Drosophila melanogaster: one gene and its partner. The protein of the gene in region 2 purifies or fractionates together with the protein of the main gene of each other region. This does not show direct contact. Each region holds a gene or a part of one and is shown on either strand. Other genes may lie near its edges.

Evidence for each region.
Region 1: the proteins of CG5577 (region 2) and CG30281 purify together in Drosophila melanogaster (affinity purification with mass spectrometry, with the first as the bait; one large-scale study listed by BioGRID). This does not show direct contact.

What each region holds. Positions count from the first base shown.
Region 1 is NT_033778.4:22,113,179-22,116,804, reverse strand, and holds CG30281 (uncharacterized protein), read right to left. Parts: upstream 1,809-3,626; 5' UTR 1,795-1,808; coding exon 1,682-1,794; intron 1,628-1,681; coding exon 1,557-1,627; intron 1,481-1,556; coding exon 973-1,480; intron 917-972; coding exon 733-916; 3' UTR 616-732; downstream 1-615. Other genes in the region: CG30280 (uncharacterized protein), read right to left, coding at 2,164-2,323, 2,386-2,961, 3,013-3,074, 3,140-3,208.
Region 2 is NT_037436.4:17,838,150-17,843,503, reverse strand, and holds CG5577 (uncharacterized protein), read left to right. Parts: upstream 1-2,076; 5' UTR 2,077-2,120; coding exon 2,121-2,217; intron 2,218-2,780; coding exon 2,781-3,468; intron 3,469-3,521; coding exon 3,522-3,684; 3' UTR 3,685-4,826; downstream 4,827-5,354. Other genes in the region: CG5567 (uncharacterized protein), read left to right, coding at 88-229, 947-1,797; Grd (glycine receptor), read right to left, coding at 4,827-5,354.

The DNA of each region.
Region 1 (3,626 bases), on a different chromosome or scaffold from region 2:
GAAGGGGATCACAGTGGACAGCAATTAAGGAGCTGCCGGTTTCCAGCCGATCTGTTCCACTGTGCCACAATAATGAGTCAAGACAGCCCAGTCGGGGTTTTTCACACGTTTCGCCTTCCCTGCCCGGCAGTCTTACGGTTTAGCATTTCTTTTGCGGATCTGCAGATTCTTCTCATCATCATCAGTGGAACTGATGACAAGTGTGGTCTGCGTCTGCAATTGTGGTCTCCCTTTGTCTGGGCTTCTGGTCTTTGTCGCAGTCACTCATTTCCATAGGCCTCCATGGAGCTCCCATCTGTGACGTCAGACCCCCGCGAATATATTTTTATCAATGTGTTCACTTCGCTCCCCCCGATATCTCTCATTACCCGAGGCTCTTTCTCGCTGGAGACTCTCCCCAGGCCTCCGGTTTCTCTGTTTGAATTTTATAGCTGGGGCATCGCATGCGCGGCCGTTGGAGCTCCTCAGTTGGAATTCAACTTGCGAACTGAGCGCAACGCGCGTTCCACTCGAAAACCTCGACGAGAAACAAAGACTATTCGCAAACGAAGAGAACAATTTGTTTACGTGCGCGTGTAGAAAAGCAGCGTTTGAAAAAAAAAATCAACTAATAATACAACAAACAAATCAGCGGGAAACGGTTATTATCAAATTGTAAATAAAAGTCCCAAAATGTTGATAGTGTTTATCAAGAAATAAAGTGATTTCCCTTCGGTGTTTTCGGTGTGGAATTCAATGGGCGTTTAAGGCATTTTGCATGCCCTGCCTTCGTAGGTTGTTGGAACACTTGGGTCTGATCATCATTTGTACGAATTTGTAGCCGTAGTCGTAGCCACGCCAGCTCATCCAGGTGATTCCACGACCCGACATCTTCGGCTCGAATCGACCTCCTTCCAAATATTGGCCATTGAGGTTGCTAGCGAAGATAATTGTTTGACTTTTTCATTTGAAGATATCATATCATATTCTTACCTCCTCTGGCACTGATCATACCACCAGGCCCCCACATAAATCCTGGCGCATCCGTGACCCGTATCATCGTGATCGAATGTGGAGAAGGGCATTCCCTTGTGGTACCTTAACGAATCACCGGCGTCTCCCGAGTATTTACCCAAAACAGATAGCGCATAGGACGCTGATGCATTCCCAATGGCAAAATCCTCGTATCGAGCATCATGTACCACTCCATTGAAATCTTCCATATAGACAAACAGCTCGTAAGGCTCCGCGGTTGTTAGGAAGTGTAGCTTTTCCAGACCCATAAAGAATTCTCCGCTAAGCTCCCCAAATCCTTGGCTATACTCCTCCCAACAGCGATAGAAGTTTTCACTGCCATCCTGTCGTCGCTGAATTACAGTCCATCCAGATCCCGCCAGCCGAGTGTCACAATAAACCGGAAAAGGTTCCAGACCCGGAACTTCAATAACATGGATGCCATTACTGTTGATTCCGGCAGCTAGACAGGAGGATGGGTTAATTGCTGCTAGACGATTACGAAAAGATGTAATTAGTTTAATTTTTGTAGAAGATCAGAAGCCAAAATAGCTCGAACTTACTCTCATGACTGCCTCTTTCTTCTGTGATTTCCTTGTAGCTCTGTTTTAGCTCTTCCAGCCTGATCTTTAAACTGAAAAATACATAGTTTAAACTTGAAAGCTCTACGATGTTTTGTGTCACAAACCTGGAAACCATGCTTTCAGCTTTCTTATAGACTAGATCCAATTTATTGCTTTGAGCAGTAGACAAGAGGCTGCCACCGCTTAAAATTAAAACACACAACAAATAGAGATTCATGATCTTGTTCCGTGCCTTGTTCCAACCCATCTAGATTAGATAGATTTGTATAGCTTGAAAATCAATTTCGATACTATATAGTTCGATTGACTTATCAATTGCATTGACAAATCGTAGGTCAAGTTCGCCTTGAGCGGTAGTAGATCAGGAAGTTGAGACAACTAAACATGAGAATTACAGTATATTTCGCAGTTCTAATTGAGATTCTGATTAATGTGCTCGGCGAGAATGCGATGATTCAATGGAACAACCTTTGCATATTAATCAAGTACATAACAAATTGTTTTCACGTTCTCGAAGCCATTGAAACCAACAGGGAGTGAACAGCTAATAATAATAACAATATTCGTGAAACCGCCTTGCCCAAATTCACCGCTGAGTCACTGGTATCATTCGGCACTTGGGTCTTATCATCATTTGGGTTACCCTGTATCCGTAGTTGTGGCCACGCCAAGATCGCCAGCACATTCCTCTGGCGAACAAGCTCTCCTCGTATTTCCCACCCGGCATATACTGACCATTAAGGTTGCTTGAATAATTACAAAGTTGTGAGATTATGTTTTGAGAAAGTTTATCCGACAGTAATCTCACCTGTCCAGACATGCGTTGTACCACCATCCTCCCAGATAGTAAAATGCACAGTTCTTATTAAACTCATGATCGTTATCCCGATCATATGTGGAGAACTTCATTTTGCGGTGTGAGCGGAGGGAATCTCCCGCAGTGCCCGAATATTTTCCCAGTGTATTCATGGCGTAGTCGTCATCTTCGTTTCCAATGGCAAATTCATCGAATTTCGCATGCTTAATTGTATCATCGAAATCCTCCAGGTGTACATACAACTCATGCGGCTCCAGGGCAGTCAAGGCACGAATCTTTTCGAGGCCGAGGAAGTACTCGTCCATTAGATTGCCGAATCCGTTCTTGTACTCCTTCCAATTGCGAAAGAAGCTCAGATTTCCACTGAACCTCTTTTGAATTACAATCCAACCGGGTCCAGCCAACTGATTTTCGCAATACACTTGAAAGGGACTCAAGCCTGGAACTTTCAGGGTGTGCAAGCCATTTTCAAGATCCCCAGAAGTCAGACAGGAAGTTGGATAAATCACATCAGGGGATGTGTTTAGAGTGCCATTGGTTTCAAGTTGCAAAAGTGATTCTTGTAAACTGGGGAGTAAAACAGTAAGCTTAGGCCTACTTTCTTTGTTTGAAACTTACGTTGAGAGTGCATTTTCTGCCTGTTCATAAATAGCCTCCAAGTTTCCAAACAAATTCAGCGTCTGTCGAGGGTTTTGTTTATTTCGATTAAGTATTGGTATACTTTTTGAGCGCCTATTTAACTTACCTCCGCATGACAAAAAATCATCACACTAAGTGCAATGCAAACGGAAAAAACTGGGACGCCGGGAAACATGATTTTGTCAGCTAATCGATGAGAATATAATGAGATTGGATCGTTTCTAAACATTTTATTGCACACAAAGGGAAATAATTGTTGGCTTTGTTTTTGTGCCGTTTCTTATCAGTTGCCATTCAAATAACTTGATTATGATTTCTTGATAATTATTTGGAGCCACTTCCATTCACGGAACTCTTACTGTGAATTTAATGCTATTTTGAAGGGTGGTTCGAAATAAAGCTAAAGAAATTTAAATTGAAAACAGCCATAAATGTGATTAAAACAAAGGCAACACATTCACAACATTTATGATTTGCTCGAATCACGTGGGATAGCCTGGTTTTCAAGTGGGTTGCCCCAGTGAAGCTAAAACTGTGCCGCTTTACGCGCTGTTTGAGCTTGAAATTTTCCATTGTGGCTTCAACCATAGGGG
Region 2 (5,354 bases):
TAATTCTCAGGGAGTTTCTCGCAATCGAGAGTCAATTAATAAATTAAAAGTGATGTGTATAAGATAGTCGTCGCTGCAAAGCCATAGATGAGTTGTAACTTCGCCAGATTTTCGCGACAGGCAGCTATCAACATGTACAAGCAGTCGTGCACCAATCTCCTGGAATTATCCTCCGCCAAGGTGACCGAGTGGCTAGCAGGCTTCGACAGTGTAATAACCGACTGCGATGGTAAGTCGGTGGTGGGGATGAGATACTACTAACTCGCACCCACCCAGGATTCCCCCCAGGAAGTTGCGTTACATAAAGATATGTGTATACCACATTCTGCCCAAATACGTCAGCAGCCAATAGTTTCTGTATTGTGGCTGCGTCGTTTATTTCAATGTCAAAGAGTGAAGTGCGTGATATGGCGGGAAGTCGACTTTCGGATGCCCTCATATCTTGTTAATCATCGTTATATTTAGTAAAGAGTAAAGCAGTAAAGAGCCGTTTGATAAATTCCCTAATGCTCATAGTGATGAGCCCTAAGTTTATTAATATTAGACAATCTTATCAATTCAAGGAAATCGTTATTATATACGCAATATCAAAAGTTGTGTTCAACCCCATTATTTATTAATTTTATGCAATAATGCCTTCTTTAATCATAACAGCTTTTATTTCTTTTCGTTTATGTATCTTTGCGAAGTTACCAATTTACTTAATTGGAATTAATTTCAAACTGTCCTCTTTGCCTTTGAATGATTAATTTATCAATTTTAGAAATAAATTACCAACAATATGAGTATACTTTTTGTAGATATTGAGAAATCAATAACGCCCTTTATAAAACTAGCAATGGCATTAATAAAACTAACAACTACAAAGTGAGAACCTATTTAGCACCGTTCTTTTTTTAATTTTAAGAAAATTCTTCTACAATATTAATCCATTTTTTCACATCAGGTGTCCTTTGGATCTATGGCCAGGCCCTGGAGGGCTCTGTGGATGTGATGAACCAGTTGAAGGGTATGGGAAAGTCGATCTACTTTTGCACTAACAACTCGACGAAGACCCGGTCGGAACTTCTCAAGAAAGGCGTCGAACTGGGCTTTCATATCAAGGAGAATGGCATTATATCAACGGCCCATGCCACAGCTGCGTACCTGAAACGACGGAACTTCAGCAAGCGGGTATTTGTGATCGGAAGCGAGGGAATCACCAAGGAACTGGACGCCGTGGGCATTCAGCACACTGAGGTGGGCCCGGAACCCATGAAGGGATCGCTGGCCGAGTTCATGGCACAGCATTTAAAACTGGACACGGACATCGGAGCCGTGGTCGTTGGCTTCGACGAACACTTCAGTTTTCCCAAGATGATGAAGGCCGCTTCCTACCTAAACGACCCGGAGTGTCTGTTCGTGGCTACCAATACGGATGAGCGTTTCCCCATGCCCAATATGATAGTACCAGGCAGCGGGAGCTTCGTGCGGGCCATTCAAACCTGTGCGGAGCGGGATCCTGTAGTGATCGGGAAGCCGAATCCTGCCATTTGTGAGTCTCTGGTCACGGAGAAGAAGATCGATCCATCGAGAACTCTGATGATCGGAGATCGAGCCAATACGGACATACTTCTTGGGTTCAATTGCGGCTTCCAGACCCTGCTTGTAGGTTCCGGAATCCATCAGCTGAAGGACGTGGAGCGTTGGAAGTTGAGCCAGGATCCCGAGGAGAAGAAGCTCATACCAGACGTGTACCTGCCCAAGTTGGGAGATCTGTTGCCGTCGATCGTGAACAGCCTGACGGACTTGAAATGAATCAGTAATCAGTAAATAGTACGGACATGTGTTTGTATAGATTTTACATTTAACTTCAATAGACAGGAAAGATTATTAATACTTAACGCAAATTTATAGTGCAATTTATACCACAGAACAAAGAATATTTAAATAAATTCAAAAGCATTTTGTGAGACGGATGATTTAACCGATATGCCCGACTCAATTTGTTTTTCCGAGCGAGCTTTGTGCGAAAGGGAGATAGCAGATTTTCCCCAATCACCGTGAATCGAAATCAGCCAGCCCGTCGCCGTCGATTTAGTTGAGTCGCAAGCATTTGGCGAAGCGGTCTACGAAGCAAAATGTCCAGAGGCGGTGCTATCGACTTGACCGGCCTATCCGAGGAGCAGGTGAGCGAGTGGCTCCAAAGTTTCGACACGGTTCTCTGCGACGGCGACGGTGAGTCTCAAGGGCGGCTAAGGTGCCACAGAGAGAGGGTTCATTGGGCTTGTGAGTGCTGCTATGGAGCTTTTACCAGAGTTGTCGCTTCACTGAAAAAACAGAGTATAAAATATCGATGGTAATTTACATGGGTAAGGGGAAAAGCTTGGCGATCGCGGTAGCTAAAAGTTTACATTTCATCGGCCTGCTACATCGATTGTTACTGTTATTCATTTTGTAAGTGGATAACTTTAAACGTAAAATCGTTAATAATTAGAAAAAGTTGATAAGGCTTAACGCTGCTGAAATCATTTTACATTTTTAGGAATATATTTATACCTGATCAATAGGAATATGTTTATACCTGAAAATCTCTCTGATCTCTCGCAGATCATTCCAATTTAATGTATAAATTTCCCATGTACTATTGGGCTTACCAAACAGAAATTTCGTTCGTAATTATTTTAAAATAAAGCCAAAACTCGTGTTAATTCCAATATTATTTAGTTACTTTATAAAATATATCTCTCATTTCAAACCTCTTCAAATGACACCAAATCAAATATCCATTAAACGCACAGGCACCATATGGCAGGATGACACGGCCATCGCTGGTGCTCCGGATGTGGTGAATGCCCTGCAGGATCGATTTGACAAAAAAGTTTACCTGATTACCAACAATGGCCTAAAGACGCGACAGGAGCTCTTTGAGCGCTCCCAGCGCCTTGGCTTCCATTTACCCAGCGACCGACACATCATTTCGCCCACGGCGGCCATCGCCGACTATCTGGTTGGGAGTCCGAAGTTCGACAGGACCCGGCACAAGGTCTATGTGGTGGGCAATGCGGCCATTGCGCGGGAATTAAGGCAGCGCGGAATCGACAGCTACGGAGCCGGCGGAACAGATGAACTGCCTCCGGGCGACAAATGGCCGGACTTTGTGACACGCGAGTTTGGGAACCCAGAGGCGGCGAAGGACGTGGGTGCCGTGGTGGTCGGCTGGGATGAGTACTTTAGCTACTGCAAGATGGCGCGCGCCTGTCACATCCTCTGCAGTAATCCCGACGCCGCCTTTTTGGTCACCAACCGGGATGCCGTGCACAAGTATCCATCCTTTTGTATCCCCGGCACTGGGGCCTTTGTGGCCGGAATCGAGGCATGTTCGGAGCGTGAAGCCCTCGAGATGGGCAAGCCAAATCCATTGGTCCTTGAGCCCTTTATCAAGGCCGAGGGACTACGTACCGAGCGAACGCTTATGATTGGTGACTGGTATGCGGGATTAACACATCCTTTCAATCTTTCCTAATGAGTTTCTCCCGTAGCCTCAAAATAGATGTCGGTTTCGCCAGCAATTGTGGCATGCTATCGCTTCTGGTGGGCACGGGTCGTTACAATAATCTCTCGGATGTCCGGCTGGAAAAAGACAGGCTGCCCCAGCCAGACTTTTATCTGCCCCGTCTGGGCGATCTGCTGAACATTTTGTGAGCCATAAATCCATGGGACTCTCGCGCAGCAATCTACTCGTTATCAACTTCTTAATTCGACTTTTATTTGGCCTTAGTTGATGTGTTTACACATAGTTGTACATATTGTATCTGCCGGCAAGTACAATAACATTCTCTGATGGATACTTTTTTTACATATATAGAGTGGTTGAGAAATTGCTGGGTCTGAAAGTTATCCATGAACAAAACTAGCTAATAAATTTTGGAAAGACGACAATGCATATTGCACAAATAAATCACTAACCATTTGCGAATATTCATTTTTATGTCCGTCCCCAAATAATTTTCAGGCCCAATAACTTTTCTTTGAATTAACAATATAGGCTGAGTGACTTATTAAAATACTAGCTTAACCTTCTATTACTTGCCGGGTCAGAAAAGCAGAGACGGCAATTTCTTACTCGTTCCTATATCTTGGTGATCCCATGTAAAAGTTGTAATTTGCAATGAACTAAACAAATTGCTTAAATAAGTGCAAGTTCCTTGTGCTGTGACTTGCAAATCAATTATCAATCAACGTTAACTATTTAAGACACACACATAATCGAAACTATACAACTTATTGGTTAGCTGTACAACAAATTTACAGGACACCCATCGATGTGAGCTGCTAATTGTCAAAACAAAGCAAGCAAGTATCACAGAAGTTATATTTTTGGCGGTTTGCTTCCGTGTAAAATTGAAACAATCAAACACCTGTTTTCGAAAGTTTTTTACGATATTTTGACTGTTGAAGCACGACATTTTCGTGAGTGTCCGTTTTAACAAGTCCTCTGATATGTTAGAGTTGAGTTCTGTTTTCTGTACTTTAGCAATTTAGCGCGAAAAGAAATCCCATAAAGCGGTGTCACATTTGGTAGCAAATCAGAATAAGAGCGTAACTGAATCTGAAAAGTTAAACCCATCCCCTGCTTTTCCCAATCCCCCAACTGATTTTCCCCCCACGCCTTGTCTTAAGCTGATTTTAAACGATGCATGTGCAAAGATTTTATAGAATCGCAGTGTTTAAATTCCGCGACTCTGCGTATGCATCGCTTTCCATCAGCTTTAGTTGTAAGTTTGCCGCCGGCGATCGCTTAATGATTTCTTCGAGGACCCTGTCTAAATTGCTAAAAGGTAACATCAGGTGCTCGCATCCGGCGTGTTGGCCAAAATCCTTGAGCTCCTCGACAAGTAGCCGTACCAGTAGAACACGTTGATAAGGATGAATAGCAGTGGGAAGACGATCCTCGAGGCGCGATCGATCTTCGACACGGAATTGTACTGTGGCGTTCGTTTGCCCTTCCTTCGGGCCTCCATCTCCTCGCGTCGATAGTAGGACATCCTGCGGCGACCTCCAGTTGGAGGACTAATCCGAGCAGCCTGTGCAGCAGCTTGTGCCGCCGCAGCTGCCGCAGACGTGGTCGGTGCTTCGTTGGCCCTTAGCTGCGTCTGCTCGTCATCCTCATCCTCGTCGGAGTCGGCACGTGGCGGCTTTCTTCTTCGCCGCCAGTCGAAGAGACCCAGAAGCTTCATACTCCACAGACCATGACGCCTGTTCCGGGGCCTCCGATTCCTGGAGGTTAGCATGCCCAGCCGAGTGGGAGGCGGCGGCATGCTAATAGCGCACATGGACAGCGGAATGACTTCGTAGATCTTGGACTCTGTGCT